3 linked regions of the Elephas maximus indicus genome follow. The protein of the gene in region 3 purifies or fractionates together with the protein of the main gene of each other region. This does not show direct contact. Links are inferred from orthologs where the notes say so. Each region holds a gene or a part of one and is shown on either strand. Other genes may lie near its edges. The genes, in order: DKC1, NHP2 and NAF1.

What was found.
Region 1: the proteins of NAF1 (region 3) and DKC1 purify together in Homo sapiens (co-immunoprecipitation; 7 studies listed by BioGRID and IntAct, counting the BioPlex papers as one, with this or other methods). This does not show direct contact. The link is inferred for Elephas maximus indicus from reciprocal best matches to the Homo sapiens genes NAF1 and DKC1.
Region 2: the proteins of NAF1 (region 3) and NHP2 purify together in Homo sapiens (affinity purification with western blotting; 3 studies listed by BioGRID and IntAct, with this or other methods). This does not show direct contact. The link is inferred for Elephas maximus indicus from reciprocal best matches to the Homo sapiens genes NAF1 and NHP2.

What each region holds. Positions count from the first base shown.
Region 1 is NC_064846.1:1,273,637-1,284,292, reverse strand, and holds the start of DKC1 (H/ACA ribonucleoprotein complex subunit DKC1), read left to right. Parts: upstream 1-6,019; 5' UTR 6,020-6,122; coding exon 6,123-6,138; intron 6,139-6,816; coding exon 6,817-6,881; intron 6,882-7,286; coding exon 7,287-7,373; intron 7,374-9,252; coding exon 9,253-9,344; intron 9,345-9,519; coding exon 9,520-9,704; intron 9,705-9,995; coding exon 9,996-10,060; intron 10,061-10,366; coding exon 10,367-10,493; intron 10,494-10,656.
Region 2 is NC_064820.1:198,294,178-198,304,666, forward strand, and holds the start of NHP2 (H/ACA ribonucleoprotein complex subunit 2), read right to left. Parts: upstream 4,677-10,489; 5' UTR 4,568-4,676; coding exon 4,408-4,567; intron 4,335-4,407; coding exon 4,265-4,334; intron 683-4,264; coding exon 577-682; intron 296-576; coding exon 170-295; 3' UTR 1-169. UniProt on the Homo sapiens protein: Required for ribosome biogenesis and telomere maintenance. Part of the H/ACA small nucleolar ribonucleoprotein (H/ACA snoRNP) complex, which catalyzes pseudouridylation of rRNA.
Region 3 is NC_064831.1:14,547,894-14,559,342, forward strand, and holds the start of NAF1 (H/ACA ribonucleoprotein complex non-core subunit NAF1), read left to right. Parts: upstream 1-6,938; 5' UTR 6,939-7,122; coding exon 7,123-7,454; intron 7,455-11,449. UniProt on the Homo sapiens protein: RNA-binding protein required for the maturation of box H/ACA snoRNPs complex and ribosome biogenesis.

The sequences.
Region 1 (10,656 bases), on a different chromosome or scaffold from region 3:
TCTCTTCTTCTTTTTATATCTCAAGAGACTGCCTCAAGACACAATCCAGTCTTGTAGATTGAGTCCTGCCCCGCTAACACAACTGTTGCCCATCCTCCCTCATTAACATCATAGAGGCAGTATTTACAACACATAGGAAAATCACACAATAAATACTGGCAATAATGGCCTAATCAAGTTGATACACACATTTTTGGGGGGACACAATTCACTCCATGACATTCCACCCTTTGGCCCCCAAAAATCACATTCTTGCAACATGCAAAACATATTCGCCGCACTAGATCATATCCTTGCAACATGCAAAACATATTCACCGCACCAGATCATAGCTAAAGTCTTAACTCCAAGTTCAAAATCCAAAAAATCTTCATCTCTGAAATCTAGAATACAAGTTATCTGCTTCCAAGGGTACAGTGGCAGAACAAGCACAAGCTAGACATTTCCGTTACAAATGGGAGAAATTGGAGGAAAACAACACATAACAGGCACCAAGCAAGTTAGCAGAATGCATTACATTAGCCCTCAAAGCTTTGAAAAAAATCCTCTGTTCTCTGAGACAATTTACACAATGGCCCTGCCCTCTAGACTCTAGTTATTGGCCACACTCTCCAGATTCTGAGTGGAGGCCCCTCGGCCCTGGGCTTCACCTCCGCCTTCCAGGCGCACTGGGACACCAATTCTCCTCCCTCAGCTTTAAGTGCACCATTCACCTAGTCCAGCTGAGTGTTGACTCCACCCATAGAAACACCAGAGGCCATGGCTCCAACCTTTGAAATCTCTGAGATCCTGGCCATACCTTTTGAGACTGAGGCAGCTCCGCTTCTTGTGTTGTCCCTTCAGCTTCTGCTTCCTGGTTTCTTGGGCTTGGGCCTCATACCCATGTCTGCCCTGCTGGGCAAGTGTTCCAAAGCTCTGTAGCTCCACTAAATAAGCTCTCTCACTTAGTGGATCGGCTCCACCACTGTCTGGCGCTGGTCTCCTGGTTCTGCTGCTGCTGGCCCTCTGTGGCTGCTGCTCCTCTACCCATTCACAAAACCCACTGCCACATTTTAGGTATCCGTTTTTTTTGTTGTTGTTGTTGTTAGAGCAGCACTCCATTCTCTTGGTACCAAATTCTCAGTTATTTAGTACTGCCATAACAGAAATACCACAAGTAGATGGCTTTAACAAAGAGAAGTTTATTCTCTCAGTCTAGTAGGTTACAAGTCCAAACTCTGGGTGTCAGCTCCAGGGGATGGCTTTCTCTCTCTGACGGCTCTGGAGAAAAATTCGTTGTCATCAATCTTCCCTTGCTCTAGGAGTTTCTCAGCACAGGGACCCGGGCTCTGCTCCTGGTGCTGCTTCCTTGGTGGTATGCAGTCCCCCTGTCTCTCTGCTCACTTCTTTCTTTTATATATCAGAGATTGCCACAAGACACAATCCAATCCGGTAGATGGAGTCCTGCCGTAGATTGAGTCCTGCCGCACTAACACAATTGCCACCCATCCTCCCTCATTAACATCACAGAGGCAGGATTTACAACATACAGGAAAATCACACAATACGGGGAATCATGGCTCAGCCAAATTGGTGCACACATTTTTGGGGCGACAGAATTCAATCCATGACAGCTGGCATAGGGAACCCAAGGTGGAGAAGGGAGAGTGTTAGATCACCAGGTAGCCCTGAGGGATCAACTGAGGTTATGAAACTGGCATGGTCATGCTAGTCAGCTGCTTGGATGCAGACAGAATAGGGGGAGAGTTGAATTTAGGCAGGTTGTGGTTTTGCTAGTGAGGATGATGGAAGGAAAAGGGGACAAGGGTTTAGGCCAGGCAACTAGAGCTGGAAGAGCCAGGGGAAATCAGGTGAGCAAGGCAGCACAAATCCCTAGGCCTCTTTCAAACTCACCCCGCTGCAGTTGGAAAATGGGCCCACAGGTTCCACTACCCTCCCCGCCTCCACCTTTAGCACTGATTAACCCATGAAGGGAATTTATGAATGAAATCCCTATAATATTGCCCTGGTGAATGACTACTTGGAGGGAGACCTCTCATGTTCATGCTGTGTACCAACTTCCCAGGATTAAGACAAAGAATGCACAAAACATAGCAAAAATGCAATTACTTAATCACTGTGGTACTAATACAGTAATCAACAAAATAGTCTAGAAACAAGTTGTAGCATATGACAAGTTAAATACATATAGTGAACATTAGTGTCAGTCCTTGAAATCAGGGATGTTAGAAACACGCCTTTATCTTCTTTTTTTAAAAATCTTCTATAGCAACTGAATTTCTAACTCTGAGGCTTCATTCCACTGAGCTGTCTCAAAATATTCTCTTGGGCTTCCTTGATTTTGTCTCTTCTCTGCCCAGGACTTGTGCTCTGTAACCTTAGGCTCACTTCTCTCAACTCTAGCCAGACAACAGACATAAAACAACAGACATAAAACACCAAAAAAGCCCAGTGCCATCGAGTCAATTCCGACTCAAAGCGACCCCATAGGACAGAGTAGAACTGCCCCACAGAGTTTCCAAGGAGCGCAGACATACTGCCATAGAACTCTGCATTTCTAGAGCTATGTTCTGCCATTGTGTTGTACATAGTTTGCTTTCATGGGAAAACATTTTGGGGCAGGGGCATTGCCCCCAAAACACACACACACTCACCTTCTCTCCTTCTCCAAACTCAGGAAGCTCTCTTGAGGGCTTAGTCTTTTAAACACACACCAGAAAGTCTTATAGGTACCACAGCTTTCCTTTGGTATGCCCCACGTTTCTCCTGAGTCATCTAAGCAGAGAGCTGGGTACCCTCTTGAATGGAGGCCTGGAGGGGGAGGAGAAAGGAAAAAATACAGTGCTAAAAATCCATCAATGAATACCTCAACTTTATTCAGCCAAACATGTAGTAATGCATTATTACACAATAACGGGGAAGTAAAAAACTACTAAACTACTAAAGGAGCTGCTCTGAGGGAGAAAGATGTGGCAGTCTGCTTCAGTAAAGATTTAGTAGAACTGTCTTATACAGTTTCCAAAGCTGTATAAGACAGTCCTACTCTGTCACATGGGCTCGCTATGAGTTAGAATCGATTCAACAGCAGTGGGTTTAAAAACTGCTCATGGATAGGATGATACTGGGAAATTTGCATCATTATTATTACCTCAACATACATGCACATAATAGTAATATCATTATTATAATGACATGTGCAAATGACATATACAAATACCTGGAGTTAAAAAAACAAAAGGGAAGAACACGCTCGGCATTTCTCAAGCTGAAAGAACCGAAGAAAAAATTCAAGCCTTGAGTTGCAACAGTGAAGGATTCCATGGGGAAAATATTAAATGACACAGGAAGCATCAAAAGAAGATGGAAGGAATACACAGAGTCATTATATCAAGAAGAATTAGTCAATATTCAACCATTTCAAGAGGTGGCATATGATCAGGAACCGATGGTACTGAAGGAAGAAGTCCAAGCTGCCCTGAAGGCATTGGTGAAAAACAAGGCTCTAGGAATTGATGGAGTATCAATGGAGATGTTTCAACAAACTGGTGCAGCACTGGAGGTGCTCACTCGTCTATGCCAAGAAATATGGAAGACAGCTTCCTGGCCAACTGACGGGAAGAGATCCATATTTATGCCTATTTCCAAGAAAGGTGATCCAATCGAATGTGGAAATTATAGAACAATATCCTTAATATCACATGCAAGCAAAATTTTGCTGAAGATCATTCAAAAATAGCTACAGCAGTATATCAACAGGGAACTGCTAGAAATTCAGGCTGGTTTCAGAAGAGTACATGGAACCAGGGATATCATTGCTGATGTCAGAAGGATCCTGGCTGAAAGCAGAGAATGCCAGAAGGATGTTTTAAAAAACTAGTTTTTATTCACTATGCAAAGGCATTCGACTGTGTGGATCATAACAAACTACAGATAACACTGCAAAGAATGGGAATTCCAGAACACTTAATTGTGCTCATGAGGAACCTTTACGTAGATCAAGAGACAGTTGTTCGGACAGAACAAGGGGATACTGATTGGTTTAAAGTCAAGAAAGGTGTGAATCAGGGTTGTATTCTTTCACCATACCTATTTAATCTGTATGCTGAACAAATAATCTCAGAAGCTGGACTATATGAAGAAGAGTGGGGCTTCAGAATTGGAGGAAGACTCATTAACAACCTGTGTTATGCAGATGACACGACCTTGCTTGCTGAAAGTGAAGAGGCCTTGAAGCCTTCAGTATGGATTATGCCTGCAAATAAGTGGTGAAAGGCAAATAAAGAAACCAAAAATCCTCACAACTGGACCGATAAGCCACATCATGATAAATGGAGAAAAGATTGAAGTCCAGGATTTCATTTTACTTGGATCCACAATCAACAGCCATGGAAGCAGCAGTCAAGAAATCAAAACACACGTTGCATTGGGTAAATCTGCTGCAAAGGACCTCTTTAAAGTGTTGAAAACTAAAGATGTCACTTTGAAGACTAAGGTGTGCCTGACCCAAGCCATGATATGTTCAATCTCTTCATATGCATGTGAATTATGGTGTCAGCAAAGAATACTGAATATACCATGAACTGCCAAAAGAACGAACAAATCTGTCTTGGAAGCAGTACAACCAGAATGCTCCTTAGAAGCAAGGATGGTGAGACTGTGTCTTACATACTTTGGACATGTTGTCAGGAGGGATCAGTCCCCGGAGGACATCATGCTTGGTAAAGTAGAGGGTCAGTGAAAAAGAAGAAGACCCTCAACAAGATGGATTGACACAGTGGCTGCAACAATGGACTCAAGCATAGCAACAACTGTTAGTATGGTGAAGAACCAGGCAGTGTTTCATTGTGTGGTACACAGGGTCACTATGAATTGGAACTGGCTGGACAGCACCTAACAACAACAACAACATACCCAAAGTCTAGATAGAATAAAAGTTACGTGAGATAAAAACCAATTGTATTTTTAGAAAGCCACAGTTAAAAGTCAAATTTTTCCAATCTTCGGATGGTACAGGAGGAATGGAGAAAAAAAGCTCTCCTTTTTTATCAGCAGCAACTCATTGGAAAACAATGGCAAACGATTCTGTTTGCAATAGCAATAAAGTATTAAATAACTAGGGCTCAATCAATTGAGACATGAACAGGATGAACACGGGTTCTTAAACCTGTAAGAATCTTTGGAAAGTTTTGGACCATCTCCCACATAAGATGCACCTACGAATGTTGCATACAGCCTCGGGAGTTCCAAAAGTTCTGTCACCAAGTCTAGAGACGCTAGGTAAAATATTTACATGAGCAGATGGCGAGGTCTTTCTCCCCGCAGTGAACCACCAGGGATCCTTTGTTCTAATTGAGATATGCTAAAAGCGTAAAATACACGCCGGGAACGGAAGAGTTAGCACGGAAAAAAAGTGTGAACTATCTCTCCATAACGTGTTTGTATTGCCTACATTGTGAAATAAAATATTTTGGGTGAGTTTCATAAAACACAATATTAAAATTATTTCCACCTGTTCTTTTTACTTTTTTCCATGTAGCTGCTGAAATAATAAAAAGTACACATGTGATTCGCACTCTATTCCCATTGGACAGCGAGGCTCTAGAGGGATGGTACTAGCGAGCTGCAAAGGAACTTCCATTTCTGTGACTCCATTTCCTCATTTTTCAATCGGCGCTGATTCCGACACCTACCTTAAAGTGTCGGCATGAGGAAGCAAAGAACTAACATTTACAGGGCGCTCTGGCACTCAGAACCGTGATCAGGTGTTGGGCGCCCAGGTTAAAGCTAACAAAACTCGACTACCATCCCTACTCCATCCCGCGGCAACCTGGCTGGTTACGCGCGCTCCTGGCTCGGGCCGCGGAAGGCGGGGCGAAGCCCGAGGCGCCTGCGCGCACGCAATACCTGGGCCGAGCCAGCCAATAGAGTTGCTGTTGCTTCCCTCACGCATTCCGGCTCCGCCCCTTGGCCCCTGCCCCGCCTCGCAGCGCCGCGCTCCACGCACGGGGCGGAGCACACGTGGGCGGGCCCTAGCGGCGCGGCCTGACGGGACCGAGGCGACGGGAGTCGGGCGGTTTATCCCTTGGTTGTGGCCTCGGCGGCGTGCACGTTGTGTGGAGAACATGGCGGACGCCGAAGGTAAGGACTGCAAGCCGGCTGGCCGTGCGCGCCCTGGCGGAGCCAGCTCTGCGGGCTAGAGGAACCGGGGGAGCGGCGTCGGGGCCCGCGCTCGTTGCCCGCCCGCTCCCACCGCCGGGCCAGCCCCGTGGCTCCTGGGCCTCTGGCCGGACTTGTCTCCTGGCCCTGTGCTGCTCGGGTGAGGACCCGAGATCTAGAGGGCCCTGCGGTGACGTGGCTCCGCAGGGCCCGAGTCGCAACCGAAAGGTGTGGCGGCGCTGGCGGCCCCGAGGTGGCGGCAGTCCGGCGAGTACCTGTGTGACGCTGCCGCCAGCGCCGCGCTTTGGGGGAGAGGGGTGGTGGGGACGAGCGGGGGAGAAAGTAGCTGAGGGCCGCAGGCGCGGAAGTAACTATGTCCCAAGAAAGACCTAGATGCCAGAAACCTCTGGCCGGGTGGCTCTGCGCGTTTTTTAAGCCCCACCGCGACCACGTGGTGAACCGAAAGGGAAGCCAACACGTGCGACAGGCGCTACTTAGGTACCGACCGACCCCGTGCGGAGAAGTGTTTGGCTTTACAGACTTTGTTTTCTCCGGGAACTATACACTAAAAATCTATATCTTATCTGCCCTGATTTCTGATTTTATGTTATTCTAAACTTTGTCCCGTTTGGGGGAAAATTTTCAAATCTCTGTTTTTAGTTGTTTTGTTGAAGAAACATAAGAAGAAGAAGGACCGGAAGTCATTAGCAGAAGATGATGTAGCCGTAAGTGGGAATGTTTTACCTTAAGTTACTTACAGAGCAAGTTGTAGGAAATAACTTTCTAAAGGTTTCTTAGAAACAACAAAGCCCCTGAGAATTAAACCATCTTGCCCTGATCCCCAGCCACCCGGTGTTTCTCATACTGGACCACTGTTTACTAAACGGTTTTAGTCTTACCAACTGCTCTCCTGAAAATCCGTCTCTTCCTTACACTACCCACAGATACTCCAGGCCCTTTTCTCTTAAAGTATTTGAATCCATCCTAGTGGTATTTCACTTCCACTTCGGAGCCCCTGGTTCATTTCTTCTCTTCCTTTCATACAGAAGCATAGCTTTCTATAGTAGGTACAGATTTGTTTAAAAAATCAGGTGGGAAGTCTAACAGGGTGCATTTGTGTCTTGCCAAAGGAAATACAACATGCTGAAGAATTTCTTATAAAACCTGAATCCAAAGTGGCTCAGTTGGACACATCTCAGTGGCCCTTGTTATTAAAGGTACGTGGTGAAGATCATGCATCAGGCTTTTAGGTTATTTTTAAATGTTAAGCAGTTTATTTTGCCCATTAATCTGTGGGTGTTGCTACACATGCAAAAACATCTGACTGTCCCGTGATTTTATCCATGCTTGAGCCTGTCTGTACCCTCTGTCTTGCCCATTAAGTTTCTCTTCTTAAAATCAGGAATGCTTAATGCTAGCATTCCTGACTTCTAGGAAGTGCCAGATGATACAGTCTAAAGCACTGTTCCCCAAAGTATTCGAGATGAAGGATCAGGTCATTCTTTTAAATTTCTAATGCACCAAATACTGTTGTAAAATACAGTTAAAATGCCACAGCTATGTTAAATTGCTATCAAAGTTTCTAAATGCTTAGCTTTCAGTTTCTGTGCTCTTGTCTTCCAGACCTGTCCTAGTTCATGGGCCACCCTTGGAGTAGTACTGCTCTAGTGCTTAAGATCATAGGCTTTGAAGCCAGCCAGTTTGATTCAAGCTATTTGTGACCTTGGGCCAGTCACTCCACTCCTCATACTGTTTGTTCAAAATACCGCAGGAGGTAACCCGTGAAATGTGTTTAGCCACAGTGCCAGGCGTGTAACATGTCCTCTAGAGATTACTGTCTATTATTTTTGGTCTTAGCCCTGCTGGTGCAGTGGTTAAAGTGCTTGGGTGCTAAGAGAAAGGTGGGTGCTTCTAACCCACTAACTGCTTTGTATGAGAAAGATGTGGCAGCCTGTTTCTGTAAAGATTGCAGCCGTGGAAACCTTACTCTCTTCTATAGCGAGCTATGAGTCAGAATCGACTTGATGGCAGCGGGTTTGGTTTTTTGGGTTATTTTTGGCCTTAAATAGGGTAGTTCAGTAAAGAATCTAATTACGTTGTGTTTTTGTTTTACAATTAAACGGGCACGTGGTATAAAGTTAGTAGAAAAAGTTACTGAGACACCCCTTGACGAAGAGTTTTAATAAGCCAATTTGCTTGACATAAGGTTTGCTCATATCTTTCAATAGAGCTGAGTTTCTCTTTGGCCAGATACCTCTGCCATTTAAACATTTGGTTTTCTATTGGGGGGCTTGAGAATCAACTGGTAAGCTGGGTAGACAAGGTCCCTGCTGTCCTGGAACTAAGATCTAGGTGTGGGAGATAGTTAAAGAAGTGCTGTTTGTAAGAAATGCTATGACAGAGCTAAACAGGGTGACAGGACAGCTGTGTTTGAATTGGGGTTCTGTTTCACATGGGGGAGGTGGCCATAGATGGATCCTCAGAAGTGAAGAGACTTAAGCATACTTGTGGACAGTAGAGATAGGAGCATCTAAAGGGGGAACAAGTTGGTCATGTTTGAAAAATGTTGGCACCAAAAAAAAAAAAAACAAACACAGTGCCATCGAGTCGATTGCTACTCATAGCGGCCCTAGAGGACAGAGTAGAACTGTCCCAAGGAGCACCTAGTGGATTCAAACTGCCGACCCTTTGGTTAGCAGCTGTAGCACTTAACCACTACTCCACCAGGGTTTCCATGTTGCCACCAGCAATCCTAAATTCGTCTGTCTTTTCCCCTGAGGAGGTGAAGGTTCTTCCATAGCAGTACCTAGTCTGTACTGTAGTACTCCCAGGAGCCTCCACTTTTTAAAGCAGTGTCTTAAATCTATGAGTCATCAAATTTGTCTTGTTCTTATTAATACGGGTAGTTTTGCCAATAGTTACGGAGACCTAACAGTCTGTCACAGCAGATAATGAAAACATAGGAGCAAAACCCAAACTGGTGTTCTTTAAGGGTTACCCTATCGTTGTTGCTTGGTGCTGTTTCATATTCACTAATAGCTTAAAAACAGGGATTGTAAAGTTAAGTTGATCTTGTGTTGTATTATTGCCTTGTAGAATTTCGATAAGCTAAATGTAAGGACAACACACTATACTCCTCTTCCTTCTGGTTCAAATCCTCTCAAGAGGGAGATTGCCGACTATATTAGGTAAGTGTCTGGAGCAGACACTAGTCAAACTTTCGTTATTTCTCATCAGTTATTCAGTGTGGCCGTATCTTTCAATAGCACTTGTACCCATGGTGATTTTCTTTTTACTTTTCAGATTTGTTGTTTTATCAGAAGACAAGAGCAGGTGTTCTATGAATTTTTTTTTCCTTTACAGGACAGGTTTCATTAACCTTGACAAGCCTTCTAACCCCTCTTCCCATGAGGTGGTAGCCTGGATCCGGCGAATACTCCGTGTTGAGAAGACAGGACACAGCGGTACTCTGGATCCCAAGGTGACTGGCTGTCTGATCGTGTGCATAGAACGAGCCACCCGCTTGGTGAAATCACAACAGAGTGCAGGTATGCAAAGGAGGGAGGGGAGGAGTGGGGACTTTGAGATCAGAAGGCTCTTTGTTTTTCTTCCTGTTTGTCTATACTTTGGCTTTTGAAAACAATTTCTTGGGGATAAAAATTCCCAGAACAGGATATTCTTTTGGCTTTTCTGTGCCTTCTGTCTGTCCTCTGCCAGATCCTTGTGCAGCTGCCCTTTCTTGGAGCTTTAGTTACCAGAGAGACTCTCAACTCATCACTCCAGGTTTGAAAACAGAAAACTTAGTGGCTACACCTAACTACTGTTCTGTCATTTTTTAGGCAAAGAGTATGTGGGAATTGTCCGGCTGCACGATGCCATTGAAGGGGGGACCCAGCTTTCTAGGGTAAGTCTGCATTTGCAGAGAAGTCCCCCTTTGGCGACTTGGATCTTCTGAGCCTAGATGTGTCTGAAGACAAGTCAGCATTCCTTGTTGGCCTGTGTCTTCCGTGGAACTCTCACACCCTTTCAGAAATCTTCTGGCAGTGTCCCCTCTGAGGAGGGGTTCTGATCAGCACTGGGCTACTCAGTGTATTTGAAGAAGCAGAAAAAAACACGTTTGATTAAGTTCTTAAAATCACAAAATACACCCTTTGATCTTATTTGCGAGTTTGTGCAGTGAGTCTTTGTTTTGATTTGTGTGTACTTGTAGGCCCTAGAAACTCTGACAGGTGCCCTATTCCAGCGACCCCCACTTATTGCTGCAGTAAAGAGGCAACTCCGAGTCCGGACCATCTACGAGAGCAAAATGATAGAGTATGATCCTGAGAGAAGATTAGGTGGGTCATTACGCTTTTGAGAAACTGACGTGGCATAGACCACAAAGGAGTAGGAATGGCTTTGTGAGAATTCTGTGTATAAAAGCAGAGGCTGTTAATACGTTGTGTAATCACAGCCTGTGTTTGTCGTCTCCAGCATCAGCTGGAGTAGGACTTTGTAGGT
Region 2 (10,489 bases), on a different chromosome or scaffold from region 3:
TGAGTGAGAAGGTGCTGGTTTTATCCTCTTGAAGTAGCTGTTGGAGCTGCCTGGGAAGAATACATGCCGCAGGCAATCAGAGAGATGCTGGGAGTGTGGGTGGTAGCCGGTTGGCCTGCTGCCTGCCCAGCAGCTTCCAGAACAGGTGCCAGGTTGCTGCTCAAGTCCCTCACAGTGGCGGGGGCAGGGCTTGGACCTCCTCGAGGCACTCGTCATAGGCCTCCTGATACTCCTCATGGGGCTTGACCATTATTACGCAGGTGGGGCGCTTGGAGCCAGCCGCTGCTCCCAGGTCCTACAGAGAAAAAGATGGGCTATTTGGGAAAGAAGGCCACACAACCTGTATGCCAGGAGTCACAAACTGATGAAGGGCAGTGATGGAGAAGGGCCTAATCTGGTCCACACACAGGAAAGAAACAGAAGTGCAGAGAGGTAACTTACTGCACCCCAATGAGGAAGCAGCAGAACTAAGAATGGACTCAGGCCTATCTTCACTGCAGAGCTTGTGTTTTTTTTCCTACTAGGCAACCCCTCCCCCAGAGCTGACCAGGGTTGGCAGGGTCATGTGCTCCTTACCGTTTTAGAGGGAATATAGACATAGGGCAAATTCCGGTCCTCACACATAACTGGTAGGTGGCAGTACACCTCAACGGGCAGTGTGTCTCCCGCCAAAACCATGATCCTAAAATGAAAGAAATCACGGTCATTTCTGGCCTGTTCTTCCTTTTGGAATCAAGTGCTGCCTCAGGACTGGGTCTTGGGGATACAGAGGCAAATGAGATGACCTTGCCTTCAAGAAGCCCAGTTACTAATATTGGAATGTAGCCTCTGAAAGTGGGTGCAAAATTGTGTGTTTGGTTGAGTGTGTTCTTCTGAAGAGATGGTCTTTATTTTTTTAATCACAGTTTCAAAAGTATGTCTGACCCAAGAAAGCTGAAGAAGGACTAAGCAGTAGAAGCTGACATGGCAACGTTTATGCCACCAACTGGTATAGTGCTGGGACAGGAAAGGTGTGGCGGGAGGGGGGGCGGGCCCCAAGGAATAAGTGCTCAGCTCTCCTAGGAGACGCAAAAAAAAAAAGCCTGAGGAGGTGACACTTGAACTGAAGGTTGAATGATGTCTGTCTGCAACCATGGTTGGATGGGGCACTGGAGATACGGAAAGCATTCAAAGCTGAGAAGCAGAATGGAACCACAAAACACGGGGGTTGTTGGCCACCTGGGATGGATTTGCAATCCAGGGGTAGTAGGGTGGAAAAGAAAGCTGGAGAGACAGATGGGGGCCATACCTGCCAGAGGGTCTTGAGTACCAAGGCTAAGAAGCCTGGGCTGTGTCCCATGAGTGATGGGAACCACTAAGGGCATGCCAGAGAATCCTCGGGGTTCTCGACTAGCAAGGTTTGCCTTGGGGCTCTGGGCAAGGGCCACAGGAGGCCTGAAGACACAGAGGGACAGGCAGACACAAGAAGTCTCAGTTCAAAATGCTGTTTCTGGAGAGGTGGAGCCAAGATAGCAGAATAGACACTTCGGTGAGCCCTCTTTACAACAGAGACCCAAAAAAACAAGTGAAACGAGTATATTTATGACAAGCTAAGAGCCATGAGCATCAAAGGCAAGCTTAGAAAACGAACTGAGGGGCAGGGGGAGGAAGAGACAGTTTACCAAGTTATTGGACCTGAATCGCGAGGAGCCCTCAGGAACCATTCCCGAGAGCGGCGGCTCGGCCGCAGTTTCCTCAGGGAGAAGCAGCCAGCCACACAGCCTGCTCACACCTCTGGAATCTGAGGAGAACGGCACTCTTGGCAAAAACTAAGTACTTGCGTATAATTTAACCCCCCCCCGCCCCGGACCCCCAGCTGGCTTCAGCAGCTGAATTCCCTGGGCCTGAGATAGGCCCTGTTGAGCACCTAGAGCCATCCTCCCGGCCTTGGTGAAGGAATAAATTTGCAATTAGGGGAAAAGATAATTTGCCAGCTCCACTAACCGGGGGAGCTCAGGACAGAAGCAGCTCCCGTCCAAGTATAAACAGTCTGTGGACTTTGAGTACCTTTCCCGTCTGCATGGACCTGGGTGAGCCTATCTCAGGAGAATAGATCCTTGTTGGCAAACTCCAACTGTTTCAGCTGTGCGGCGGCAAAGTGGGTGCTTGATGTTTGACATTGCTTTGCCTATTGAACAGGGTCCTCACCTACCCACATCAGGGGCCTAAGGACTGGTAGCTCCACTCAGGTCACCCAGCCACCCGCGACAGGGGTCCAGGGATAACTGGTACCTCCCAGTCCTTACAACCAAGAACACTGGGTGCCCATGGTCCGTCTGCAGAACCCACCCACCTGTACACTCTAGGGAACAGGGACAGGCTTTCCTCAGAGACACATGGGGAATGATTCTTAGCCCCGCCTTGTTCAGAGCATGACCCCCTGCTGCAACCAGATACTGGTATCTACACCAATCATCCCTGCCCCTCTAAGACTGTAGGACAGAGCCTATACTAACACACTTGATGATCAGCTACCTGGACACCTGAGCTGAAGTCATACAAGAAAAGTGAATGGACTTCTAGACTAATACACCTGATAACAACTCTAACCATCTGGGAAGAGGACGTCAGAGCCCCAAAGGCAGAAATAATCAAGCTAGCTCACTCAGGCAACCCATTTGGGCATATCAAAACAAAAAGCAAGAAGCTATGACACAGTAAGCAAACATAAAATTAATAAAATAACTTACAGATGGCTCAGAGACAACAGTCAATATCAAGTCACATAAAGAAACAGCATGATCACCTCAACAAGCTCTAAAAACAAAGAATCAAGGGATCTTCTAGATGAAAGTGCCTTCCTGGAATTACCAGAGGCAGAATACAAAAGCTTAATATACAGAACCATTCAAAACATCAAGAAGGAAATAAGGCAATACGCAAAACAAGCCAAGGAACACAGAGATAAAGCAATTGAAGAAATTAAAAAGATTATTCAGGAAAATGCTGCTTCTGTATTCTAGTTTTCTTTTGGCATCTTGGCCTCTACTACTCTTCCTTTAAGTGTTGGTGTTCCCCACACTGTGTGCTGACAACTCCTAAATCTGTTCTCTCCAGCCCGGTCCTCTCAAGCTCCTAGCCCACGTGGCCACCTGTGCTGCTGAGTAGCACTGGGGGCTGCAGAGGGGTGTTGGGGGCTGGGGGTGTGTATCTCAAAGGGACCTAAAAAAAACTGTCTAAAACCAAACTTGAGATATTCCCACATAAACCTGGCCCTCCATTGTTGGCTCTCAGTGAATGGGGCCCTCCATCCATTTGGCTGGGCAAGCCAAAATCCAGAAGTCAATTGCAATTCACTCTCCATATCCTAAATCCTCTCAAATCCACCCACTTTCATTCTCTCCATCTCCCTCACCTCTTCTGGACTACAGTAACCTTCCTAGCAAGAGTTTTCCCAAATCTACTCTTGTCTCTCTAATCCTTTCTTTCTTGGATTGAGAAATGTTAAGGCATAAATATAATGTCACTCCCTGGCTTTAACCCTTCAGTGGTCCCTAAAGACCAAGTACAAAAACTAAAGTCCTTACCATTGTTCATAGGCCCCTCTTGTGGCTGGAACCACCTCCTTCCCCCTCATACCTCCATCAGCCCCTGCATCTTCAGGGTTCAGCTCAAATAAAACTCCCTGATGCACGACCTCCCCGCGACCCAGGTCAAACTAGGTCTGACACCCAACTGTGCACCAAATCCCCCAGCCTTATTTCTTGAGCATCTACAGTGTGCCAGACGCTGGGGATAAAGCAATGGGAATCCCTGTTCTCAAAAAGCTTATGGTCTGGACTGCGTGGGAGGCACTGGAGATAAAAATGTAAATACAAATTTCAGATTCTGTTAAATGCCAGAAAAGAAGCAGAGGAATGAAGTCTTTCTCACGGCACTTTTCCTTCGTGATTATCACAACCTGTAACTGTGTTCTGATTATTTGCCCAATGTCACTGCATCCCCATAGGCAGAGTGCTTGACAAAGCCCTCAAAAAACATTTAGTTGCTAAATGAAGGGAGAGGGGTCTATCCGAATTGAATTAGATGATACGATTAGCTTCCTTCTGGAGTTCACTTTGCTCATGGGGTCCCTCTGAGCTCCTGCAAATGGTATGTCGGTATCTATACTGAGTGAAACTTACCGACTGCTTTATTATAGGGGACAGTCAGCCCACTCGACTTTTACAGAGCACCTAAGTTCACCGTTTAGAAACGCGAAACGTGGCGGAGAGGGGAGTCTCACCCTTTTTCGCCTTTGTTGATAAACTTCTGAACCTCCTTCACGCCGCGCCGAATCTGCTTCTGCTTCACGGCTGCAACGACAAGAGAGTCAGTCGGGGGTCTCGCACCGCCCCCGCGCCCCGCCAGCCCCCGCGCCCGCTGCACCTTTCTTGATGCACTTGTAAAGCTTCCGCGTGAGGCGGCGGGAGGCCAGGGGCTGCGCGATTGGGTTCAGGTTGACCAGCAGCTCATGGTACGTGCGTTCCCCACAGGACGCCTCTGCAGGAGCCTCCGGCCCGTCCGGGTCTGGCTTTATTTTGGTCATAGCGGCAGCCACGGCAATACCCACGCCGACTCCCGGGAGGCGAACCCACGCGGCAAGCCTCTGCAGAAATCACTTCCGGGTCGTCCCACTGTGCGGGAAGCCAGCCGTGCGCTACAACCAATTGGGAAACTAGGTTCAGGCCAATCGTTGACGGAGAGGGAGGCGGAGTCTTGGCCCTAGGAGGCGGGGCCACTTCTATTGGACAAAGCGGATTAGGGGCGGGCCCGGGGGGGGAAAAAAAAAAAGAACTAAGGCGAGGGGCGGGGCCTAGGGGGTGGGGCGGGAATAGCCTGCACTTTCCTATTGTCTCCTATTGTCTGAGAGTGGGGGTCGCGGGGAGCGGGAACAGGAGGAAGTACCTGTGGGGGCGTGGCCATGCCTGACGGAACGGGATCCACGCCCGATGGGCGGGGTGTGCGACCATAGTGCAAGAACTGGAAATCTGTGCTAGCGTGATTCCGGACCAATTTAGTTAGGTCTGAAGTTTCAGGTTGTCAGTGCGGAGCCTGGTCAGGTCCCGGCTCCTGAGCTGGTCCTGGGTAGTGTCTGAGTGCTAAAGGTAAAGCCTGACACTGCTAATGGTAAAGCCTGACACTGCTAATGGTTTCTTCCGTTTTTGCATAGTGTCTCTCCATTTGCTTTCTCATGGCCCGCGTTGCACGGCTGTGGAAGGAAGATACAGAGCAAGGAATGGCCCCACTCGTTGACCGCTTTTCCCTAGATAGCCCCTGGGCTCGCTTCGTGTCTTCCTTCAGGTATCTGCTCAAATGTCACCCCATAGGACAGGATCCTCTGATCACGTTATCCAAAGCTGTGGCCCCTTCCGGCCTCCCACCTGCATCCCTTATCCCTTTTATTTTCTTAATAGTTCTTACCACTGTGCCTGGCATTTCACACATCGCTGAGACAGAGCTGGGTATGAAGGACAAGGGAGGGAAAGGCATTTGGGTCTGAGATTTGGGGCAAGAGGGGTGCAGGAGAGCGCTGAGGAGACAGACTGATTTGAATGGATCTGTAGAGGGATGGGGGCGCTGGTCAGGTGAGCAGGCCTGGGCTGGTATGGATCTTGGTATCTTTGACATAGTTCTTTGTCTTGAAACCAGACCAAAAAATCCAAACCAGTTACCATCAAGTCAGTTTGGATTCTTGGCGACCAGATGCGTGTCAGTAGAACTGTGCTCCATAGGGTTTTTAATGACTGGTTTTTGGAAGTACATTTCCAGGCCTTTCTTTCAAGGCACCTCTGGGTGGGTAGATTTGAACCACCTTTCGGTTAGTCGCCTGCTTGATTAATAGCCTTAACCTTTTGTACCACCCAGGGACTCCTGTCTTGGAACACACTGGCTGGATATTAATTAGATAATTGCTACCAATTAATTGCCTTCGATTATTCAGTGGTAGGCCTGCCATTTTTGTGGTGATGTAACAGGTCAGTAAGTGGAACTTTTGAAGTGTGTGGGAGGCCATGGAGTTGGAGCATAGGTCAGTTAAGCCAACTTGTCCAACTTAAAAATGTACTTATAAAATTTTTTTGCTTTGGAATTTCCTGAGGTGGCCTCTTCCCGATCCTTAGGTTGACAAGTCACTCTCAGTTTTTGCCTCACTGCTGACAACTTTGCAGTAACCATTTCCCACCCCCAAAATCTCCCCTGCCATGCCCTTCCCCTGGCCATCCTGGAGCAGCAGCTCTGCTCCTCGCTGGGAAGGCCTCTCCACGTGGTCTGCAAGGCTGTGAGACCAGCTTTGTGGTCTCCTTTGAACCTATGGCAGGGTTTTCTGTTCCTTCCCAAGGGACATTCCTATGAACAGATTCAGTCTTGTAGGACTGGTATGAAAATGTACCAGGGTCACAAAGATGAGAAGCTCCCCAGATGAGTGCATGGGGCATGATGAACTGTCCAGGGGAGCAATGGAGAAATTCTTCTTGGAGAAACCTAATTCAAACATATTTTTTTGGTTGAGGCCTTGACCTCACCAAGGCCTCAAACCCATTGTCATAGAGTCGATTACGACTCATAGCAACTCTATAGGAAGGAGTAGAACTGCCCCATAGGGTTTCCAAGGAGCAGCCTGTGGATTCCAACTGCCAACCTTTTGGTTGGCAGGCAAGCTCTTAACCATTGCGCCGCCAGGGCTCCTCTTACACAGAAGGAAGAGGGAAATGAATGTTTGTGTCCCCAGCATATTACATGTAATATCTCATTCAATGCTCACTGAAAATACCATTATTATTCACAGTTTACTGAAGCTCAGAAAGATGAGTAGCTCGGTTCAGGTCATACAGCTAGATTTGAACCACGGTCTGCTTGTCTCCAAGCCCAGACTCTCCCCATACTAGGGGAGTTGGTTTTAGTGCAAAGATTGTGAAATGTGGCTGATAGTGAAAGTGTAGGAACCTCAGTCTGGCCAGGTCACAAGTGTCAGCTTTTTTGTGTCCTCAGTAAACCACGCTGTGTATTTCTAAAGCCAGCTTCAGAGGTCTGTGCCAGATTCAAGGTGGTTTGTATGATTTTTACCAATTTTTTTTGTTAGAATGGTGATAAAGGATAAAATCAGAGGCTTCTGACAGTATTTGTAAAATGACTGAGCTAGCTAACTCTAAGAGCTCAAAGTAACCTTTCCCCCTTACTCTACCTTTGTTGCCTAGAAACCAACCCCTATTATTGTTAAGGAATTAAGTTTCTCTCTGGTCAGGTTAAAGAATGTGAATACCTCCCAGAAACTCATTTGTTCCCTGATGGAAGCTCTTTGTTCCCAATCTCCTCTAGAGATTGACGCTCTGAGCAAGGTAACTTTTAACAGACCACTCCGGAAATTTTCCATCATGTCATTGCTTTATTACCAACGTGAAGCCCCCCCTTGACCCCATGCCTTTCAGTTATGTCTTTTAGCCAATAGTGTATTCACATAACCAGTAATGTCAAAGATTATCCGTTACTTTGTCTTACCTTTGACTGACTTCAGTCAGTGTAAACCAATCAGAATATTGTGTTTTGTACTTCCTCCTCCAGCCCTATAATCTCGTGCCTCCAATTTCTCCCCCTTGGATTCACCTGTTGCATTTGGTGGGACGCCACGTTTTCTTGTTGCAGTGTTTTTTTGTGCTGCAGCTGGCTCTATTCCCTCAATAAAACTCTTTCTTTACTTTGGATTTTAACCAGGCTTTATGATTTTGCTCTACGACAATGGTCACACGAGCTTCCATGAAGCAGCGTAGAGTGGGTGAGAACATAGTGACTCATGGGCAGTAGACCAGAGTTCTCAATGTCAAATGTTGTTGTCATTAGCTGCCATCAAGTCAGCCTTCAACTCATGGCGACTCCATGTGTTACAGAGTAGAACTGCTCTATAGGGTTTTCTTGGCTATAATCTTTATGGAAGCACATCACCGGGCCTTTTTTCTGCAAGAGCCTCTGGGCAGATTTGAACCGCCAATCTTTGGGTCAGCAGCCAATTACAAATTGTTTGTACCACCCAGGCTCCTAAATGCCCAGTGACTTTGTACAAGTCGTTTAACCTCTTTGGGCTTTAGTGCCTTATCTTTAAAGTGAAAAAGTTAGGCCTTGCTGGACTAAGGTCCCATCTTTTAAAAAATTGAGGAGGATTTTTTTTTTTTAATATACTTCACATACTGTATAATTCGCCCACTTAAAGTGCAAAATTCAATGACTTTAATATATTCACAGAATTGTGCAACCATCAAATTTAGAACATTTTCATCACTTCAAAAAGAAACCCCATAATTTTAGCTATCACCTCCAAACCCCCCAGCACCCCCAGCCCTAAGCGACCACTATCTGCTTTCTATTTTCTATGGATTTACATATTCTGAACATTTCATATAAATGGAATCGTACAATATGTAACCTTTTGTATCTGGTTTCTTTCAGCCAGCATAATGTTTTCAAGGTTCATTTGTGTTGCAGCATGTGTCAGAACTACATTCCTTTTTATGGCCAAATATTATCCCATTGTATGGATATACCAGATTTTATCCATTCACCAGTTGGTGGACATTTGAGTTGTTTCATCTTTTGGCTATTGTGAGTAGTATTGTTATGAACTCTCATGGTCAAGTTTCTATGTGGACATATGCTTTCATTTCTCTAGGAGTGGAATTGCTGGGTCAAATGGTATATTGATGTCTAACTTTTTGAGAATTGCCAGACTGTTTTCCACAGTGGCTGCATCATTTTACATTCCCACCAGCAACATATAAGGGTTCCAATTTCTCTACATCTGTGCCAAAACTATTACAAAATCTAATAATGTATCTCTTAAACACTTGCCAATACTGGTTTTGTTTCTTAATTTTATTGTGGTGAAATGTATATTAAAAAAGCTTGCCATTTTAACTGTTTTTAAGTGTACAAGTCAGTAATATTAATTACATTCGCCATGCTGTGCTACTGTTGCCAGGTGGAAACCCCAGGTTCTGCTCTGCGTGACTCGTCTCAGCCAATAAATGAGAGACTGAGGTGGGAGAGTAGAAAAGAGCCTTTATTTCGTTGCACAAGGAAAGGAGACAGTCGGGGCTGCTGCCACCAAGATTGCTCAATGAGGGTTAGGGGGATGGGTTTACAAGTAGGAAGTTCATACGGATTATATCAACAACATTCTTAATCGAACTGTGAAGGCACAATGAGGTTTGCATATAACTTCATGCATCTCATGTTTAGAAAATGGCTGCTAAACTACACCCAGAGGCAGGGAAGTTACTGTGTATAAGGTCTAAAAATGTATCCTGAATGTCAACATGGCACCTCAACCAGTTTCCACCAATTTCCTCTAGTTTTAGGTCAACAGATAAGGAGAGGAAAACCAGGATTTTAATGTAAAGTTAAGGAGCATACCAAGCAAAGGAACCAGGATTCTAGTGTAAAGCTACGGGGCATGCCAAGAAAGCTGCTTGAGGCAGTGGAATTGTCTGCAGCCTGGGGACCTCTGTCTTACTACCATCACCACTGTCAATTTTCAAATGTTGTACATTACCTCAAACAGAAGCACAGAATTCCTTCAGTAATAATTCATTCCCTCTTCCCCCCAGTCCCTAGTAACCACTAATAAATAAGCTTTGTCTCTATGCATTTGCCTATTCTAGATGTTTTATATAAGTGGGATCATACAGTATTTGTCCTTTTGTGTCAGGCTTATTTCACTTAGCATGATATTTTCAAGCTTCATTCATGTCTTGGCATATATCAGAACTTCATTTCTTTATGGCTAAATAATGTTCTATTACATGGTATAGATATACCACAATTTTTTTTATCCATTTGTCAGATTTTGGGCACTTGGGTTGTTTCTACCTTTTGGCTATTATCAATAGTACTGCAATGAGTTTTGGTATACTTGCATGTGTTTGGGTCCCTGCTTTCAATTCTCTTGAGTATATACCTAGGAGTGAAATTGCTGGGTCATATGGTAATTCCATATTTGACTTTTTGAGGAGCCGTCTGTTTTCCACAGCAGCTGCACCATTTTACATTCCCATTAGCAATGGAGGAGGATTTCAATTTCTCCACATTCTCATCAACATGAAGCACTTACTGATGAAGGTCAAAGACTACAGCCTTCAGTATGCATTGTACTTCAATACAAAGAAAACAAAAATCATCACAACTGGACCAGTAAGCCACCTCATGATAAATGGAGAAAATATTGAAGTTGTCAAGGATTTCATTTTACTTGGATCCGCAATCAACACCCGTGAAGGTAGCAGTCGAGAAATCAAACAACACGTTGCATTGGGCAAATCTGCTGCAAAAGACCTCTTTAGGGTGTTAAAAAGCAAAGATGTCACTTTGAGGACTAAGATGTGCCTGACCCAAACCATGGTATTTTCAATTGCCTCATGCATGTGAAAGTTAGACAATGAATAAGGAAGACTGAAGAAGAATTGACAGCTTTGAATTATGGTGT
Region 3 (11,449 bases):
TGGATCTGAATTTCACCTTGCAAGAAGAGTTTGTTAGTTTTGTCAATTTGCTCTCCTCTCCCCAACTTTATTCATATCCGTATATACTTCCAAATGCATTTTTTCCTTCCCAATTGCAAACATTATCCATTTTGAAGATTAGATGCATTCTCGTAGTCAACTCCTCCATATCCCCCTTTTCTTCTAGTCTTCTTTAGTCTTACATTCTGTTTCAGCCAGATTTGTTTCCCTTGGGACACAAGTTCCAACTTCTGAATCTTTCCCCAGTCTGTCCTGGTGTGGTACCGGCTTCTCTCTTGCTTTGCTATACCACATCCCTCTCTATTGTTCAGGATACTTTTTTTTCTAGGGTTTGTGGTAGGTGGATCGTTTTATCAGCAAACAATCTCTGAGCAAATTTTCCCTTCCTGGTAACTCATTCCTGGATTCACTTAAATAGAATCACAATTTTTTGGCTCTGATATCTACCTTAAGTATTGTAGTTGTTGGGTGCTGTCAAGTGACACCACGTGACACAGTAGAACTGGCCAGTGGGTTTTCTAGGCTGTAATATTTGCAGAAGCAGATCACCAGGTCTTTCTCCCTCAGATCCACTGGGTGGCTTTGAACCGTCAATCTTTTGGTCCGCAGCTGAGCCCTTTACCATTGCACCACTGGGGCTCCTACTTAGGTATTTAGTCTAATTTCTTCATTTGGCAAATGAGTGTGGCGAAGCTTAGAGAGTTTGTTGCATAAAAAACATTGCTTGTCTTTTCAACAAACCACTCACTGAAGGCAGGGACTGCATTTCAGGCACACCCCAATGTGTCTACAAAGTATGTTTTGGTGCTACGAAAATAATCTAACACCAGGAAAGGTTTTGATACGATTTTAGTGGCTAAATATTAAAACGCTGTGGCTGTAATAGATGATGCTTGTTGTCACTGCTTAAAACAAATGGCAGAGGGCACCCTGGAGCTTCTGCCTGTGCCTTACTTCTGTGGTTGTCCCATGCCATCTGTTATGCCTTTGGATAAACGCACTGCTCATAAAATGCAGTGGGAAGTATACAGCAAAAAAGACCATGAGCTTTGGGCTTGGACATCTCAGGATCAGAACACCACTCATGGCCATGGTGAAGTCACTGACTCTCTCCACACCTCAGTCTCTTACACACTTAATGGGGACAATAATACAGACATAAAGGGAGAATTAGGGATAAATTTTGACATGCACCAACATATACATGCTCCATAACCAGCAGCTATTAACATCTACTGGGTATTAGTGGAGGTGCATGTCATAGGACAGATAAAACAGTTTACAAAATAGTCTTCCAAAGGGAAATATACAAGAAAATGAATGGAACGAGTTAAACTGAATTTGACATTGATGCTCATTCATTTCATTTTTTTTTTTTTTAATTCAGAAAACACTGAAGTTCAAGATAAAAATAAACAAAAATTTCAAAAGCAGGTGAGAGTGGCAGGACTAAAGATGATGTTATAACCAAACAGCTAGTCAAAATTTGTTTTTTTTGGCTTTAACAAAGGAAATTTATTTTCTCACAGTCTAGTAGGTTAGAAGTCCAAATTCAGGGTGCCAGCTTCATGGAAAGGCTTTCTCTCTCTGTCAGCTCTGGAAGAAGGTTCTTCTCATCTGTCTTCCCTTGGTCTGGGAGCACCTCAAGTGCAGGGACCTCAGGTCCAACCATGCACTGTGCTCCTAGCACTGCCTTCTTGGCGCCCCCCAAAATCTGGTTTTTAAAAAATTCATCACAGTTTTTTTTTTTCCTTCATATGTGGGAAAAGCACAATATTTTGCTTAATTGCCTTTACTCACTTTTCAATCAGTAGTTTTGACGACATGGAATATAGACAAAAGTAAGTAAACTGCATGTTGTCATTCCATTATTCACTGGTGTAGAGGTGTAGAAAAAAATTCCACAGGTTTTTGGGTCACATAGATCTAGGCTTGAATACTGTTACTTCTTATGATCATTCAATTTATTCATTTCTAATTTTATAAGATGATGTAGGAGAAAAAAAGCACTTGGCAAAAGACCTGGAGTCAGATACGTATTTTAATGAAATGTTCCCAGGAGACAATTTCAATCAACACATGCCTCACTCCTGTCTCCCTCAGGAGCATAAAAAGTACAAAAGTATCTCCTATGGTAATCAATGACTCTGCATATCGGATCTAGCACCTGACACAGTCTTGATTATGCATGAGTAAAATAACTAGCACCTGAAAATATTTTAAACACATTAAAAACGACAAGCTTTTCTGCTTTATGCAATAGCTAAACGTTGAGATGGAAATGCAAAGCCTAACATCAGTAAAAGCCTGTCGATCTGCAACATGTCTTTGGGGGATATTTAGTACATGCCCAGTGAATGCGTATGAGGCATTAATGTAGCAGCTTTCCCTGGAAGGAGCTGAAGCATTGCACAGAATCTTCTCATTAAAGGCAAATGGTAATCATCTGAAAGTTTTTATTCTGCCCAAATTTAGGAATGTTTAGAAAACAAGAGAGGTAATCTGAGAATAGAACTGGCACAAGATGAAGAGTCCGGCACACACAGTTGAACCCCTGTTTTGCCCTAAATAGGCACAGTGAGTTTGGACTGGATGCCATGTAATCTGTCTAAGCCTCGGTTTCCTTACCTGTGAAATGAGGATAAGAGAGTCTACTTTGCAGACTTTCTGTGAGGACCAAATGAGACAACATGTGAAATTCCTGGCACATGGTAGGTTCTCAAATTTTAAGTCTCTTCTGGCCTTCTGTACCTCTTTCTCCCCTTAGATATCAAGTGTGTTAATGAATTAGATTTTGATGTTAATTCAAATGGGTCTTTTGCTGATTTTCCTCCTGGAACCTTGTATTTTAAAATTATACTAAGCAAAGCAACACACAGAATGGGAGAAAATATTTGCAAATCATATGCCTGATAAGGGAATAGTATCAGAATATATTTAAGAAAATCTTATAACTGAAAAATAAAAAGACAAATAACCAAATGAGGAAAGGATTAGAATAGACAGTTCTCCAAAGTAGACATACAAATGTTCAATAAACACATAAAGCAATGTATTTAACGTCTTAAATCAAAATCATGATGAGATAGATATTCACATCCACTAAGGTGGCCATAATCAAAACAACAAACAATAGTGGAGAAATTGGAACCCTCACACATGGCCGGTAAGATAATACACTGTGCAGCCACAATGGAAAACAGTTTGGCAGTTCCTCAAAAAGTTAAACATAGCTTTGCCACAGGACCTAACAACTTCTCTTCTAGGTACATATCCAAGATAAATGAAAACATATGTCCACACAAAAACTTGTACATTTATGTTCATATCAGCATTATTCATAATATCCAAAAAGTGGTTGCTGTTGTTAATTGCCATCAAGTCAGTGTAGACTCATGACAACCCCATGTATTACAGAGTAGAACTGCTTCATCAGGTTTTCTTGGCTGTAATCTTTTTTTTGTTGTTGTTGTTATAATGTTAAAAAATAATTTATTTATTTTTTAATTGTGCTTTAAGTGAAAGTGTACAAATCCAGTCAGCCTCTCATACAAAAATTTATATACACCTTACTATATACTCCTAATTGCTTTCCCCCAATGAGATGGCCCACTTCTTCCCTCCACTCTCTCTTTTTGTCTCCATTCCACTAGCTTCTAACCCCCTCTTCCTTCTTATCTCCCCTCCAGAGAGGAGAGGTCAACATAGCCTCAAGTGTCTACTTGATCCAAGAAGCTCATTCTTCACCAGCATCTTTTTCTATCCCATTGTCTAGTAAAATCCCTGTCTGAAGAGTTGGCTTTGGGAATGGTTGCTGCCCTGGACTAACAGAAGGTCTGGGGGCCATGACCACCGGGGTATCAGTCAGAACATTAAGTCTGGTCTTTTTACGAGAATTTGGGGTCTACATCCCACTGCTCTCCTGCTCCCTCAGGAGTTCTCTGTTGTGTTCCCTGTCAGGCCTGTCATTGGTTGTGGCCAGGCACAATCTAGTTCTTCTGGTCTCAGGCTGACATAGTTGCTGGTTTACGTGGCCCTTTCTGTCTCTTGGGCTTGTAATTACCTTGTGTCCTTGATATTCTTCATTCTCCTTTGCTCCAAGTAGGTTGAGGCCAATTGATGCAACTTAGATGGCCACTTGTTAGCGTTTAAGACCTCATACGCCACTCTCCCAAGTGGGATGCAGAATGTTTTCTTAATAGATTTTACTATGCCAATTGACTTAGATGTCCCCTGAGACCATAGTCCCCAAACCCCCACCCTGCTACACTGGTCTTCGAAGCATTCGGTTTATTCCAAAACTTCTTTGCTTTTGGTTTAGTCCAGTTGTGCTGACCTCTCCTGTGTTGTGTGTTGTCTTTCCTGTCACCCGAAGTAGTTCTTATCTACAAATTGGAGAATGCCCCTCTCCTTCCCTCCCACCCCCTCTTCTAACCATCAAAGAATATTTTCTTCTCTGTTGAAACTATTTCTTGAGTTCTTATAATACTGGTCTTATACAATATTTGACCTTTTGCAACTGACTAATTTCACTCAGCATAATGCCTTCCAGATTCCTCCATGTTATGAAATGTTTCACAGGTTCATCACTGTTCCATTGTGTGAATAGACCATAATTTATTTATCCATGCATCCATTGGGAAACCCTGGTGGCATAGTGGTTAAATGCTATGGCTGCTAACCAAACACTCGACGGCAACGGGGACGAGATTCATCCATTGATGGGCATCTTATTCGGTTTCACCTTTTTGCTATAGTCAACAGTGCTGCAGTGAACATGGGTATGCATATATCTGTGTAAAGGGTCTTATTTCTTTAGGATATATTCCAAGGAGTGGGATTGCTGGATCGTATGGTAGTTCTATTTCTAGCTTTTTAAGGAAGCACCAAATCAATTTCCAAAGTGGTCGTACCATTCGACATTCCCACCAGCAGTGTCTAAGTGTTCCAGTCTCTCCACAACCTCTCCTACCTTTATTATTTTGTGTTTTTTGGATTAATGTCAGCCTTGTTGAAGTGAGATGGAATCTCATTGTAGTTGTGATTCGCATTTCTCTCATGGCTAATGATCGTGAGCATTTGCTCATGTATCTGTTAGTTACCTGAGTGTCTTCTTTAGTGAAGTGTCTATTCATATCTTTTGCCCATTTTTTAATTGGGTTATTTGTCTTTTTGTAGTTGAGTTTTTGCAGTATCATGTAGATTTTAGAGATCAGGTGCTGATCAGAAAGGTCACAGCTAAAAACTTTTTCCCAGTCTGTAGGTAATCTTTTTACTCTTTTGGTGAAGTCTTTGGATAAGCATAGGTATTTGATTTGTAGTAGCTCCCAGTTATCTACTTTTTCTTCTGCATTGTTAGTAATGTTTTGCATACTGTTTATGCCATGTATTAGGGCTCCTAACATTGTCCCTATTTTTCCTTTCATGATCTTTATCATTTTAGATTTTATATTTAGGTCTTTGATCCATTTTGAGTTCGTTTTGTGCATGGTGTGAGGTATGGGTCTTTTTTTTATCTTTTTGCAGATGGATATCCAGTTATGCCAGCATCATTTGTTAAAAAGACTGTCTTTTTGCCATTTAACTGATTTGGGGCCTTTGTCAAATATCAACTGCTCATATGTGAATGGATTTATGTCTGGATTCTCAATTCTGTTCCATTGGTCTATGTAACTGTTGTTGTACCAGTACCAGGCTGTTTTGACTACTGTGGCTGTGTAATATGTTCTAAAATCAGGTAGAGTGAGACCTCTCACTTTGTTCTTCTTTTTCAGTAATGCTTTACTTATCTGGGGCCTCTTTCCCTTCCATACGAAGTTGATGATTTGTTTCTCCATCTCATTAAAAAATGTCATTGGAATTTGGATCAGAATTGCATTAAATGTAGATTGCTTTTGGTAGAACAGACATTTTTACAATGTTAAGTCTTCCTATCCATGAACAAGGTATGTTTTTCCACTTATGTATGTCTCTTTTTTGGTTTCTTACAGAAGTGTTTTATAGTTTCCTTTGTATAAATCTTTTACATCTCTGGTAAGATTTATTCCTAAGTATTTTATCTTCTTGGAGGCTACTGTTAATGGTATTGATTTGGTGATTTCCTCTTCGATATTCTTTTTGTTGTTGTAGGGAATCGAACTGATTTTTGTATTTTGGCTGTAATCTTAACAGAAGCAGATTGCAGGGCCTTTTCTTCCACGTATGGCTGGGTGGGTTTGAACCTCCAACCTTGAGCAGTCTAGTGCAAACTGTGCCACCTAGGGACCTTCCAAAAGGTGGAAACAACCCAAATGTCTGTTACTACGTTTTAGCATCATGTCACCATTCTATGAAGCAGTGTCAAATAGACCAGACATCATCAAAATATCAACAAGCAGCAAAATTCCATTCTCCATTACTTCTCTCTTTAGAGTTCTTTTAGGGAAACAAAAATTTGCATAGCTGTCAGTTTTTTGAGATGGTCAATGTTTTTGCTATCCATGTACTTGTCTAAGTTCAACTACAATGAAGTTACTAAAAGTGTCTTTTTTTTAAGGCTTTCTGGCACAAGTTTCTGATGTACAGAGCCTGGGACTTGCAGGCATCTCCCCTGCCCCATAATCCCTCCTCCTTGTCCGTGGTTCGAGTACCAATGATCCTGATTCAGCAAAATGAAATACCAGCCTCTGGGAGTGGGATAGGAAGACAAGGCCCGAAGTTGTTAAGAGAGCCAGGAACTAAATGCCTTCCCAGCTCTCAGTCCAGAGGTCCCGGAGGTCCGTCCCCGCCCCCGCCCCGCCCCCGCCCCGCCCCGCCCGCCCCCGCCCCGCCCCGCCCGCCCCCGCCCCGCCCCGCCCGCCCCCGCCCCGCCCATGCCCCGCCTCGCTCCCGCCCCGCGAGTGCCGTCGCGTCCCCTTACGTCACAGGCTTCCCCGGAAGTGCCACTGCGCACACCGCGACATTGTGCTTCCGGACTGGTCCGCGTGTAGTTACCCATAAGCGCGGGAAGTTGGTCAGGCGCTGGTGCGTCGGCCGCTGAGGTTATTTTACCGTCTCCGGAGGGAACCACGAGCTTTCCGGGGTCCCAGAGCGTGAGCCCCAGTCGGGCTCTGACGCAGGGAAATGGAGGTGGTGGAAGCCGCCGCCGCTCAGCTGGAGACTCTGAAATTCAATGGCGGCGGCCTTGCGGTTGGCGAAGGTCTGACGGCGCCGCCACTGCAGCCGGGTGAGGCGTCTCCGGACTCCGGGCAGGCAGCGAAGGTTCGGCCCGCCGGGGAACGGGCGGCTGAGCCCGCGGTGAGCGCCGTCGCCGCCGGCGGGAGCCGGGCCCCGCAGTGGGAGCCAGAAGCGCCCCCCGGCGGGAACTGCGTCGCGGGGCTGGCTGCGGCCGAGCCGGCGCGGACCCAGGACTCCGTGGAGACCTCGGACTCGGACACGGACTCGGACTCGGACAGGTTGGTGCCTGTCGGCCGCCGAGCTGCGGAAAGAGGGCTTCTATGAGGGGCGGGAGGAGCCGGGGCCTGGGGCCGAGAGGGCGCCCGAGTGGGTGTGGGCCGGCGGGGAGGCCGCCGATGCTCAGGACTCGCGTGTTGACCTGTAGCCGGGACCGCCCATGCCTCTGGACATCGCGTTGTGGATCTTCAGTGCAATAAGCTGTTCGCGCTACTTCCCTAAAGTCAGCCGTCTGAAAGGGCCAGTGTCTAGGCCGTGCCTTTAATTAGAATATAGAAAGTCTTAGGATATTAAATTATTTGCATAACTGTTCTCTTATGTTGAGTTTGTAACTTTGAGTCGTGTGTCAGGTCTGAATTGTTTCATTAGGTTTAGCGTGTGTGTGTATATTATCCCCCTGTTTTTGAGCTGGATGAATTGAGGGTGAGGAAAAGGATTATTTTGTGTGCTTCAGGTTGGCGCTTGCCAATTGCTAACTTGCAGAATCTTTGTGGGGAGCACATGCTCTTGAAGTTAGCTAATTGTTGTTCTTTAGTATTGTTTTATGCTCTGCACACCTTTTATTGTTGTTAGGTACCTTTGAGTAGGTTCCAACTCATAGCGACCACGTGTACAACAAACAGAAGGAAACACTGTCCATCCTGCGCTATCTTCACAATTGTTGTGCTTAAACCCTTTGTTGCAGCCACTGTGTCCCCCCATCCTGTCGAGGGTCTTCCTTTTTTCGCAGACCTTCTGCTGTACCAAGCATGATGTCCTTCTCCAGGGACTGGTCCATCCTGATAGTCCAAAGTATGTGAGATGAAGTCTCTCCATCCTTGCTTTTAAGGAGCATTTTGGCTGTCCTTTTTCCAAGATAGATTTGTTTGTTCTTTTGGCAGTCCGTGGTATATTCAATATTATTCACCAACACCATAATTCATAGGCATCAGTTCTTCTTCCTTATTCATTGTCCAGCTTTCACATGCAGATGAGGCAATTGAAAACACCATGGCTCGAGTCAGGCTCACCTTAGCCCTTAAAGTGACACCCTTGCTTTTTAACAGTACAAAAAGGAACCTTTTATAGGAGCTTTTTTCCCTTGTGTTTTTAATGCAAATGTCTGTGACAAAACTGCAGCATATAGGATGCTCTTAAACAACCCTGAACATTGTCTCCAAATATTTGAGTGTGTTCTGCGGGCTACTGAATAGGTGAACAAGATAGACACAACCCCTGCCATGCATTCCAGTGGGAGGGAAGAAATATAAAAGTAAACATGTTTAATGAATACAGTGATCAGAGTTGGTGCAAATCATTATGAAGTAACAAGCAAGGGGCTGAGAAAGTAACAGGGAGGCTGACCCTGTAGGGTCCTGTAGCCATCTTAAAGGTTTAATTCTAAGTGCTAGAAAAGCAAACTATTGATTAGTTTTAAGCAGGGAATGACATGCTCAGTTAACATTCTTATAAGTTTTGCTCTGTGAAGAGAGATTTGAATTTAGAAAAGAGTGCAAGCAGAGAAGCAAGAGTGGAACAGGGCCAAGTGTGGAAATAGTTGGGAAATGTACTAGCACATGGTTCCCTTGATTAAGTATTTTAAAGTTACACTCATCAGGCTCTTAATAATAGGTCAACAGTTGTTGTTAGGTGCCATCCAGTCCGTTCCGACTCAGCGACCCTAGTCCGCTCTGACTCAGCGACCCTACGTACAACAGAAGGAAACTGCCCAGTCCTGTGTCATCCTCACAATTATAGCTATGTTCCTGTGTCATCCTCACAGTTATTGCTATGTTTGAGCCCACTGTTGCAGCCACTCTCTGCCAGTCCGTCTCGTTGAGAGTCTTCCTCTTTTTTCCTGACCCTCTGCATTACCAACCATGATGTCCTTTTTGGTCCCTCCTGATAAAACATCCAAAGTAAGTGAGATGAAGTCTCACTGTCTTTGCTTGTAAGGAGCATTCTGGCTCTACTTTTTCCAAGACAGATGGTTTGTTCTTCTGGCAGTCCTTGGTATACTCAATATTCTTTGCCCACACTGTAATTCAAAGGCATCAGTTCTTCAGTCTTCGCAGGCATATGAGGCAATTGAAACTTTAGTCCTCAAGGTGACATCTTTAATTTTTAACAATTTAAAAAGTCTTTTGCAGTATATTTGTCCAGTGGAATACATCGTTTAGTTTCTTGACTACTGCTTGTGGATATTGATTGTGGATCCAAGCAAAATGAAATTCTTAACAACTTCAGTCTTTTCTCTGTTTATTGTGGTGTTGCTTATCGGTCCAGTTTTGAGGATTTTTGTTTTCTTTATGTTGAGGTACAGTCCATACTGAAGGCCGTGGTCTTTGATCTTCATCAGTGAGTGCTTCAAATCTTCACTTTCAGCAAGCAAGGTTGTGTCATCTGCATAATGCAGGTTGTTAATGAGTCTTCCTCCAATCCTGATGCCCTGTTCTTGATATAGTCCAGCTTCTCAGATTATTCGTTCAGCATACAGATTGAACAAATACGGTGAAAGGATACAACCCTGATGCACACCTTTCCTGACTTTAAACCACCCAGTATCTCCTTGTTATGTTCGAATGACTGCCTCTTGGTCTATGTACAGGTTCCTCGTGAGCATAATTAAGTTTTCTGGAATTCTTATTACTCTCAGTGTTATCCATGATTTGTTATGATCCACACAGTTGAATGCCTTGGCATAGTCAATAAAACACAGGTAAACATCTTTCTGGTACTGTCTGCTTTCAGCCAGGATCCATCTGACATCGGCAGTGATACTCCTTGTTCCGCATCCTCTTCTGAATCCCGGTTGAATTACTGGCAGTTCCCTGTGGATGTACTGCTGCAGCCATTTTTGAATTATCAGCAAAATTCTACTTCCATTTGATATTAATGATATTGTTCGATAATTTCCGCATTCTGTTATATCACCTTTCTTTGGACTGGGTATGCATATGGATCTGGCTAGTTGGTTTGCCGGGTAGCTGTCTTCCAAATTGCTTGGCATAGACCAGCGAGTGCTTCCAGAGTTGCACCAGTTTGTTGAAACATCTCGATTGGTATTCTGTCAATTCTTGGAACCTTGTTCTTTGCTGATGCCTTCAGTACAGCTTGGACTTTTCTAGTGCCATTAGTTCTTGATCATATGCTGCCTCCCAAAAGGTTGAATGTTGACCAGTTCTTTTTGGAACAGTGACTCTGTATTCCTTTCCATCTTCTTTTGATGCTTCCTGCATCGTTCAGTATTTTGCCAATAAACTCCTTCACTGTTGTAACTTGAGGCTTGAATTTTTTTTTTTTTTCAGTTTGAGAAATGCTGAGTGTGTTTTTCCCTTTTGGTTTTCCCAGGTTTTGCACATTTCATTATACTACTTTGTCTTCTTGAGCCACCCTTTGAAATCTTCTTTAGCTCTTTTTTATCATTTCTTGTATTAGCTTTAGGTAGTCTGTCTTCAAAAGCAAGTTTCAGAGTCCCTTCTGACATCCATTTTGGTCTCCTCTTTTTAATAATCTTTAGCTTTCTTCATTTATGATGTCCTTGAAGTCATCCCATAACTCATCTGGTCATTAGTGTTAAGTGTGTCAAATCTATTCTTGAGATGATCTCTAAATTCAGGTGGTATATGCTCAAGATTGTACTTTGGCTCTCCTAGACTTGTTTTAATTTTGTTCAGCTTCAGCGTGAACTTGCATAGGAACAATTGATGGTCTTCCACAGTCGGCTCCTGGCCTTGATCTAAATGATGGTATTGAGCTTCTGCATTGCCGTCTTTCCACAGATGTAGTAAATTTGATTTCTTTGTATTCCATCTGGTGAGGTCCAGGTGTAACAGTTCCCATTTATGTTGTTGAAAAAAGGGTATTTGCAATGAAGAAGTCATTGATCTTGAAAATTCTACATGCAATCTCTGGCATCATTTCTGTCACCAAGGCCATATTTTCCTTCTTTCTTTCCCACTCTCGCATTCTAATCACCGGTAATTATCAGTGCATCCTGATTGCATGTTTGATTAAT